Linked DNA regions of Caenorhabditis elegans. The protein of the gene in region 1 purifies or fractionates together with the protein of each later gene. This does not show direct contact. Each region holds a gene or a part of one and is shown in the gene's direction. Other genes may lie near its edges.

Region 1 (5,467 bases):
ACATTCTGTTAAATAATTAATTTCAGTCTCAATTCTTCTCTCAATCCATTGATCTACACAGTTTTTGACCAAAGATTCCGAAATGCCTTCCGGAACATTTTATCATGCGGGATATTCAAAAAAAGATGATCTTAATATATTTTATTTTCTTATTCTATTTGTATGGAAACTTTATGTGTCATTGCCTTACTGATCGTTTTGAACGTTCAAATTTCGAAAAAATTATTTATTTTAAAAATAAAACGATACTCTAGTTTTTCAACTTTACCGTATCCAATTTCTTCGTTCGGTTTGCTAATCGTGCCGTCTCCCAGAAAGGGGCGATATGGATACAAAAGAGCATTACTGTTCCCGTCTGACCGTTTTCCTCCATTCAACACTATTGAGATTGAAGGGCGTGTGTAAGAAAGTGAGAGGTCTGAAATAGTGGAATGTTTACTCATGGCGGGTGGAAGGTCATGTTGTTTATGTACCGGGGGCTTCCGGTCAACTTTCGAACAGAGTCAGGTTACATGTAAGTAGTGTTGAGATGGTTCTTCAACATTATCACGAATCCCTGCTTTTTCTTAGTTTGGAAATGCACAAAAAAACTGATCTCTATCTTCAGAGTAGGGCTGTGCGGCTGATGACTCGGCTGAAGTTCAGAGGTGAAGAGTAAAACTAGAAGCAATAGGATTATCATTTCAACTGTTTCGATTTTTAACAATTATAATTTCAGACTGGAATATCCGACTGAATATTGAACTTGTGAAAGACCTTCCAACGAGTTTCGGTTATTAAAAAAGTAACTTGTGTATAAGCAGTACCCCAACATGTTTTCAATAGATAACATTTCATAACACTTCAAAAAGTCTCTCATAGTGAGACTTTTTGAAAATGTGTTTAAAAAAATTTATAATCATTCAAAACATTACAAAAAATATCACAATATACCTATTTTGAGATTTAAATTTTGCTAAATTTTTCTTGGTTTTATTTAATTTCCTTGTTTGTTTGCTTTTTTTTGTTTTATTGTGCATATTTTTAATAGTAAATAGACATTTTGAGTCGATGGGAGGCGATGGGAACAAATTTGTAATCTTCGTGCACCTATCGAACTAATACCTTAACTAATATATGTATTAAAAAACTGCCATTGAAGCCATTAGTGAATTTTCCTTTCATATGTAAGTATGAAAACTTGAAAAACATCGGTAAGTAAAACCTGCATTAATATTGAGATTTTATTAAAATTAAATTTCATGTCATACGTACTTTTGTGGTAAACTTGAGTTCTACTGGAAACTTGTGCTTGTCATTTTAGAATATCCCGTGTATTAGACACTTTTGCTCTTCGCTGATAAACCTAGATCAAAACTCAAAACTCATCCAATTGAATCAGGCGATAATTTCATATTTCACACTTCCTGAAGTTTGTTTGCCAAACAGTGCATTAACAGCTTATGTCAGCTGACAGACAGCCTAGCCCGACATAGTTTTCGTACGCCATGGTTTTTCGCGCTCATCTCCATTTTGCGTCCGATCAAAAACCAAGGTATCGTCTGCGCCATGAGCACGCAATCAATTCAACACCCTAATACTCACTTTCCGTCGATCTACCGCCTCTTTCCCGGTTTCTGCATTTCCTTGCTCACCCGTTGCCACACAATATTGACATTACGGTAGGAACTAGAAAAAGGTAGGGCCAAAACCGAACGCGATGGAAAGTAGCCAGACGAGACGCTGAGATTGACACCACCCCGACTGTCTAAGCGACCAGCCGCTCAACACCTCTCAAGTCTGCCTTTATTTGGTGGGCCGAGCAATGTGAGAAGCACGCGGTAGTTGATGGTATGCCGTCGTTTTACGGTTGCACGCACGTGTGTAATCTGAGTCATTCTATTCATTTCCAAATAATTCCACACTTGTGCATACCGCATTCCAATTCGGCTTGCACTTCATTTGTACTTTGATGTTGGCATTTATAGCTTAATTTCTTTCAATGTTCCAATGATTTTATTTTGCAGATTTACAGGCGTGTTTCATTGCGGGTGTAAGAAGTCATTTTAATAAGCAGAAGTCCACTGATGAGGTTATTATTTTTTTTCAGCATTTTATACACAGGTGAGGTGTTTACTACAGCAATTTCTTAAGATTACATTTATAGCTTCATTATGCTGTCAACTAAAGGATTTCTTGCCGTGTGTAATGCAACTTAGCGCTCAGAAGGTATGTATTCTTGGGAATAAAATTTTAAAATTCATATTTAGGTTGACTTCAATATGAATCCCATTGAAGTTATTTTCAATATTACGACAGAAGCAAAGCTAATGCATACTTGCAGGTTTGAAATTTAGGAGAACCAGTACCAAACTAAAACTAATCATGTTTTAGAACCTATAGTCGCATCCTCCCGTGTTTTGATCAAAAAATGGTACAGTGCGGTAAACCCTCTGAAAAAACCCAACTAGAGCGCGGAAAAAGGTTACATTCATATTTATGTGCTCCATTTTCTCTACAACGACAGAAGATCTTCTTGAGAAGAAGCAAATGCATTCAGGATGTGCTAGCAGAACCGCAATCATCGGTTTGTAACAGAAATGATACGGTTTTTGCGGATAAGCTGCAATCATGCAGGTAAGTATATATAGGTACTTTTTCTTTTTCAGTAGTAAGGCATATTTACTAATACTGCACCCTTCAAGGCCTTCTAAAAATTAGTATCGTAGACTCCAGTAGTACTTCAGTCTCTATTAGTACTGCACCCCTGTTTTTTACGAGAAGCATCCTTATAGTTTCAACAATTTAAAGATATTTTCATGAGCCTTTTTCATAGTTTTGCACTAAATTAATAACGTTGTTAATTAAACGTGTTTTCTGTAACGATATTTCACAATTTTTATGATTTTCTATTTAAGATATTACTTTTTTGTAAGCGAATGGTCATATTCTCCATTTTAAATTAAGCACTCGAAAATTAGTAGTCGAGGAAATTCCGGAAACGAGTACTACATGCCGCAATAATAGAAAATAAACATTACTTGATTATTGTAAGTCACAAAACACACTTTTCAGAGAAATGTGTACCCGACCAGACTGCGTGAGCAAAATCGAACTTTCGGAAGTGTCAACTTGCACTTATATCAACATTGGTAAGAAATGTACCGCAGAAGCTGCTCAATTTTTTGCACAGATGCAACAGGTACCGTCTAAACTTAACAACCTCCCACAAAGAAAAAAATTAAAGGTTTTAACTAACAAAGAATATCCAATGCAATGCCAATATGATCTAAGAAAAAAACCGGAATCGGAATTGAAAAAAGGGTTACCTATTGAGTCTCTGGTGGCACAAACGACTTCTTCCACAACTTATGTAACCGTTCATCCTCCCGCACTTCCTTCAGTAATCGACGGAGTTGTCACGAGGACTAGTCTTCCAATCATGAGAAGAACTGATCCAAACTCTAAATTCAAACCACGGCCAACAACTTCTCAATCGAATGGACCTGTTATAAAAACTGTGATTGTTGATGAACGTGGCGCTCCAATGAACCAACCAACGTCCACTCAAAAGCCAAAAGTTGTGCACAAGTTTTTGCCAAACCCGTATACCACAAAAAACCCAAATACATTGAAAAACGATATCATCAGAACGACCAGAACAATTATTCCCGTCGTTGACAAACATACGTACGTTCCATGGAACTATAAAGTAGACGCTGTTCAGGTTAGTGCCCTTATTTCAGTGAAAATTTCAAAAAAAAAAAGTTATCTTTTTGCAGGTGTCTACTTTAACAAGTGCTTTAGCACCAGTTAAACCTACGGAAACAGTAATATCCTCCCCTCCAGTTGCATTTAATTTCAAGTTACCTGCTGAGCAGACTTCTACACAACCATTCAGAGTTGAAATAAATTGGCATGATGACGAAGTTAAGCAGGAACCAACAAAGGCACCAGGAGTTGTATGTTTTGTTTTTTATTTGCTTTATTCATTTCAATTTGTTTTTTAGTTCGTCTCCCCATGGTATCTAAAGACACCATCACATATACCACCGGAAATTGAATTCGCTACACCAACGCCATTGATCAGTTCGCCACTAGAAGCTGTGAGCCCAATTCTCAGCCAATTGAAATCAAACTCGTTGAATTTCACGGAACTCGGAAACCAGGCAAACAACTACTTCTCTGCAGCATTAAGTGCATTCGCAGAAACAAAGAAGGAAATGGCACACAATGACCCATGGCGGACTATCATAGGTTTGTTGTGACACCAATTAATGAGTTCATGAATGTATAAAGATTTCAGGAGCAATACTGAAGTTTTTGAGGGAGTAAGATAATTGCTGAAATTTAGAATATTGGTTTTTGCATTTTAGGCTAAAACTAAAAAAAACCATTTGGCATTTAAAATTAAACGTGATATGCATCACTGTTACAAACTATATTTTCTAGACAAAAAATTTCATTAGGGTTTCGACGTAGGTGCCGAAAAAACCGGCATCACTGCACTTCATGTTAGCATCGTAGAAATTACTGTTATTCATTTTCCCATAAGCTCATTCTTTAATGGTCTGAAAATGTACCAAATTATACAATGTTTTCAACTTTTAAAGATTTTAAAAAGGACTTCAGATCAATTTTTGTACTGACGATGATATAAAGTGTTAACTGATTTAGCAAAGCTGCATTAATTTATTTTATTTTCTGTATGGAGATTCTCCACTGTTGATGCCTTAAAAGTCTTTAAATTGTTTTTGAAAAAGTTCTATAGTACAACTAATTGCAGATGCCGTTGCTCCAACTATTCATAAATTTTCACCGGATGTGATACCTCGAATTCGAGAAGAAATCAACAGAATTCAACCTCACCAGCAAAAAAATTAAGTGTATTCTTCCCTATTGCCACTTAACTTATGCCATTTATTTATTTCATGTCATCATTTGTTTTTTTTTATTTTTATTTTATTCTATCTGTAAAATATGCTCATTTCAATTTGATTGATTTACTTCCATGTGAAAAAAGTACATAGAAAAGGAGAACAGGATGAAAAAAGAAAAGTATATGTGTATCAAACCCGCAAACAAATTGTCAACTAGAACCGCTGGAGCAATAAGACGGAAGATGGAAAATACAAATGCAAAAAGAAGTATTCATAAGGATACAAATCACAAAGAAAGTACCAGTAACTCGGGACAGAATCGGATTGATTGCAAAAAATAACTTTTGATTGATTTTCATATTGAAAATGAATGGGACGAAAGGTGGTGCGCAATTACAAAGTCGTGGAAGAAAAGTTTACATGAATATTGAAACTGAACGCGGAACTAACAGAAATCTACCTCGTGAACTTGGATGACTTAGACCGATGTCTCTGAGCATTCACTCAATAATTGGTAAGGAGTGCTCTGTGGAATTGCAGTTGAAGTTGAAGGACTGTCGGATGGAAGCTCGGCAAGAGTTTTGGAATCGTTAGTATCGTTTTGACAG
Region 2 (4,932 bases), on another chromosome or scaffold:
TTTTTTGATTAAACTGGAAGCTTGTAGCACCTAGAAAAATTATATTATTAAATTCTGGAAGCGCTTAAAATTTGAAGAAATCCGAAAAGTTCTAGAATTTTCTAAAAAGTTCTGGGAATTTTTTAAAGAAAAACCTGGAAAGTTGTAGAATTTTCTTGAAAGTCCGCAAAACTCCAGGAGAATGTATAACTGTACAAAAATGCTACATTAGCACTTTAAAATTCATTAAAACAATTTAGCGTACGCCAGTCGGAGCACGCGCTTTGCGTGTGCGAACGGCTGGTATATATAAAAGTGTGTGAACAAGATATTCCATCGTCGAATCGTACATTTTGAAATGCCAATAGTTTTTTTTTTGAACAATATTATCATTAAGAGGTCGTGTTGTGTCAGGTGTCGTCTTTCAATCTTGAAGTAATGTCCGAAACATTTTGCTCATTGCGGTTGTAACCCCTTCCTGTGTCTTGTCTCTGTGTCTCTGAAGATTGTACATCGCACTAATGCTCACTGAGCACCACAAAATGAATTGAAAAGATAGGGAAAGTGTTCTGGAGGAGACAGGAAGATAAAGAAGACAATTTCATTTCGTTTCTTATACTCCCTCACCTTTAGTTCAATTCTTCTTATATCACTTTATCACATTGAAAACTGAGTTTTCTTTTATTAAAGATGGTATAGTGGGGAAAATGCTAAAATTACTTTAATAATCCTCAAATTGTCAAATGTCATAAAATATTTTTGAGCGTAATCTGAAATATGTTTATTTACCACCATAAAGTGGATATTACTTAGTTTTCATCGGTCATAGTTTTGAGAGTCGACCAGGAAAACCATTTTTTCTGCAGGTTTAAAATATTAATGATGTTTTCATTATTCGTATCAGGAGGTGCAAAAGCTTGAAAGCTTTACTTTTTACTTGACGTGCTAGAAAATGATTGAAGATTTTTGCTTGAAATCCAACTCAAGCAAAAATAATGCCACAAATATCCGGTTTGCCGTTATTTCATTCTTTTTTCTAGAAAGTTTCTTGAAGTTTATACAGTTTGATTAAACAAATAACGTTCAAAAAGATTGATGTTTGAAAACCTGACTTTGCGCTTGATTTTCATCTCTTATTCATATTTTGACATTTGACATTTTTGCACTTCGAACATGCAAGAAAACTCTGAGTTTCTCAGAAATTTTACGAAAATTTGTAAATTTTCCAAAGTTTTGACTCTAACCAAGTTTCAGACAAATGTCATATTCAAGTAGAGAAAGTTCCAGTTTACGATACAGAAGTGGAAGTGTTGAGAGGCGATCAACAACATCTTCATCAAGAGATCCTGCACCATATCGAACATGTTATGGAGTTGAAAGGGGGCGTGTATGTTATTGAAATTAGGTTATTTTATGTCAAAAATTATCTAGGAACTTTCGTATCTTAATTGAAATACGACATTTTCAAACATATTTTGAAAATTAATTTTAAAAATTAGATAAAAATACACAATTTGACAGTCAAAACTACGTTGAAAAATTGCAAATTATGAAATTTCTGAAAAATGTCAAGCTATGAGAGCCACTGAAAACATGCCCACATGTTTACTGCATTCTCATGTTGTGGCAGTGGTTTGGCAGAAGAAAAGAGCCGATAAAGTTGTCAATCACCTGATGTTCCTCCCATGACTCAAAGAATCTCAGTTGGCTCCCGCATTCTCAGAAAACGTCTTATTTTTTGTTTTCTCACCTTTTATCATATAGCATTTATCGAGTTAAAAAAAAATTTGGAAGTTTTTTTGTGATTTTAAAATTGCCAAAATGCCAATCTGAAATAGTTTTCAAACGTTATGAAGCTGATATTTTTTCAAACATAAATTGTAACGCGATAATTCGTTTTAAAATTTTAAAGGTTGCATATTTTGAAACATTTCAGTCTCGAGATCTTCCTTCAACTACAAAAACAACAACAAGAATGCCAAGAGCAACATCATACGATCCATTTGCTTCTACAAATCGAGCAAGTTCAGTTATTCGAAGTGGTGGTCTTTCGAATAGTGACTATACACCCAGAATCAGTTCATATACAAGCAGGTGGGTATTGGAGAAATTTGACGTTCATTGGAGTTTCCAATTTTCTAAATATATAATAATTAACTAGAACTTGAGCTTTATCACAAGAACAAATAAATGAAAACTTTTGTTTTACTATTAGAATAGATGAACTAATTGGAGGTTTGTAAAGTTTGTCTTATACATTTAATTAAATGCCAACGGAATTTGTACAGTTCATCAAAAACTACAGTGTTTTTCAAATATTCATTTTTTAAAAGGTGCTGATAGATTGTTTTTGATTTCCTTTTGAAGAAATTTCAGCTCACTTTCAGATTTCCGAATGAAACAAATTTAACAGCAAATGAGCTCTATGAACTTTTTTCAAATCGATCCTAGTCTATCATAAATCTATTAATTAAAAATTGAAAATTTCCAAAAACTTCCGTGATTGTTCAACTACCTATAAAATTAAATGTCTGCGAAAATCCACGAATGGACAATTTTACGAGCCTCTAAACTAGAAAAGAAAATGTTTTTTTGACATTTTTCCAGTTGGAAATGTTTTCAATTCATTCGGAAGTCTAAAAACGAACTGAAATACTTTTCTTGTGAGAATGCAAAAATTTAAAATTGATTTTTTTAGAAATTATGATGAACAGAATTAATGAATATGTTTGGGGTTTCCCACGAGATTCTTAATCAAACGGCCCGAATGTGAGCCAAAAACAATTTTTATAAACTTTTCCCTCATATATTGTATCAAAATTATATCAGATATGGTAGTACTGATCAGCTGAACTCATCGTCTTCCTCCTCTTATCGACCGACGTCATACCGTGCCGGATCAATCACTTCTGGCGGAAATTCTAGTAATTCCACGTCATCATACACTCCCAGAAATGTCCGAGCTGGAAGTGTGAGCATTGGAGGTAATTGATATTCCAAAACTGATTGGTCATTTCGTCTTTTTTTTAAAATTTAATTGTATCCTGTCCAGATGTTTCACACATGTTTTGCAGCCTACGACCCTCCAACGAGTCGAGCTGACTCGGTGTCCTCATCATCCACTTTTTCAAGATATCGACCAGATAATTCTGTGTGAGTAAAAACAACGGTTGTCGGATGTAACTATATTATTTTTATTTTTTTCACCATTGATGATTGGAAGTATTATTTGAAACTTCTGCTAGTAAATTAAAGTTTTCCAGATCCTCCACCTCAACCTACACCCCAAGTTTGTCTCGCTACAGATCCACTGATCTATCCAGTACTTCTGACTACTCTTCAACCAAATACCGTAGCCCAGACAATAGCTACAGTAGTCGGCGCTCATCTACAATATCTTCTGGAAACTCAAATCGATATTCAAACTCCCATAAAACACCGTCATCTGTATATTCTTCAAGAACATCCACATCCAGCTCATATAGAAGTGACAGAGATTACAGATCAATGAGTAGAGCAACCGATAACGAGGTAAGTGAAGAAAGAAGAGTGTGTAGTGCTTAATTAAAGGCGCACGGGTTCATTCGGATGTGTCTCGCCACGAGAAAAAGTTTATGATTAGAATTTTTTTTTGCCGCAGTCGCTTTTTTGACCTTTGTACTTTTCTAAAATCCAAAAACGGTAATTCTTAACAAAATTTCATTTAAAAAATTCGAAAAAAAAAGCAGAGATAAACCATTATTAAAATAAGCTGTTTTCGTGGCGAGACCGAGTAAAATTGCTAAATATCGTTAGTTGTACTGATTGTGAGACCTACACTCCGCAGGTTGACACATGTGTGCAATATGCCGGGCGATGATGTAACCTACGTGGATGACTTAATTTTTATCAAACAACAATTTTCTTCAGGATGAAGTAGACGAAATTGAAAGCACTTTCCGAAAGTTATACAGGAAATATGTCACGGATAGTGAACCAGATTTATCAAAAGTTGGAGGAAAAGACGACGAATCTTTGGCAGAAAAAGTTTCTCGACGTTTTGAATCAAAAAGTGAAGCTGAAGATGATGATGATTCAATTGCTGAAGAGGACGAGGATGATGTGTTGTCAAAATATCAAACAAAAGGGTTGAGAAGGGTAGGTAATTTATTACTAAAAACTATTTAATTTCTATTTTCAGGCAAGCTCAGCGAGTTCAATAACTCCCCGTGCGTCTGTATGCAACTCTCCTAGCAAAGATGTTACACCAAAATGTTCACCATTACCCGCCAGAAAAGTCAGTTTCAAAAAATTACTTCATATATGCTATAGCTCTAATTCTAAAATTCTAGGAGATTGCAACTGTGGTAAGATCGGAATCGAGGTCAGTATCTCCAGAGATGAAACCACTGACCAGAAGTTTTCAAATGGAGGCGTCTTTTGGAGTTTCTGCTATTAAGAAAAGTTCAGTAGAAGAAACCAAGACGTTCGAAACTGAGAAATCTCCTGAAGTTCAAAAAGCTACAGAGCCTACTGAAAAGATTGATAACTTCCAATCAACCCCCGTGACAGCAGTTCCGAGGGGCGTTCCGAATTTGGTGGATACAAGTTCAGAAGATGAGGAGGAAGATGTTGAAATCATCAAACCTATAGAACAACCTGAAAAAGCATCAGAAGTTCTAGTAGAGCCAATCAAAAAAGTAGTGTCATCTATCAAAATTAATGGAATAGAAGTAAAAGATGTTGAAAAAACGAAAGAAGATAAAAAGGAAGTTGATTCAAAACCTGTTGCTACGAACATTCAAGATGTTCCGACGCCCGTAAGAATTCGAATTCGTAGTGATAAATCTCCATCAAGGACCAGAGAGGTTTGTGTCAGTAATTGGTAATGGTTCTAGAGCTTCCAAAAAAATGGTTCTAGAGCTTCGAAAAATTATACCTTAAGCTGAAGCTGAAATTTTAGTATCTTATATC

The links.
Region 2: the proteins of aaim-1 (region 1) and C32E12.4 fractionate together in Caenorhabditis elegans (co-fractionation; one large-scale study listed by BioGRID). This does not show direct contact.

The regions. Positions count from the first base shown.
Region 1 is NC_003284.9:6,558,966-6,564,432, reverse strand, and holds aaim-1 (Protein aaim-1), read left to right. Parts: upstream 1-2,004; 5' UTR 2,005-2,066; coding exon 2,067-2,103; intron 2,104-2,146; coding exon 2,147-2,208; intron 2,209-2,249; coding exon 2,250-2,323; intron 2,324-2,373; coding exon 2,374-2,616; intron 2,617-3,054; coding exon 3,055-3,181; intron 3,182-3,226; coding exon 3,227-3,706; intron 3,707-3,761; coding exon 3,762-3,941; intron 3,942-3,989; coding exon 3,990-4,236; intron 4,237-4,765; coding exon 4,766-4,863; 3' UTR 4,864-4,967; downstream 4,968-5,467. Other genes in the region: dop-3 (Dopamine receptor 3), read left to right, coding at 27-129; Tyrosine-protein kinase receptor svh-2, read right to left, coding at 5,338-5,467.
Region 2 is NC_003279.8:5,238,898-5,243,829, reverse strand, and holds the start of C32E12.4 (Ubiquitin carboxyl-terminal hydrolase), read left to right. Parts: upstream 1-1,915; 5' UTR 1,916-1,954; coding exon 1,955-2,073; intron 2,074-2,808; coding exon 2,809-2,963; intron 2,964-3,053; coding exon 3,054-3,132; intron 3,133-3,242; coding exon 3,243-3,510; intron 3,511-3,888; coding exon 3,889-4,116; intron 4,117-4,159; coding exon 4,160-4,255; intron 4,256-4,310; coding exon 4,311-4,778; intron 4,779-4,932.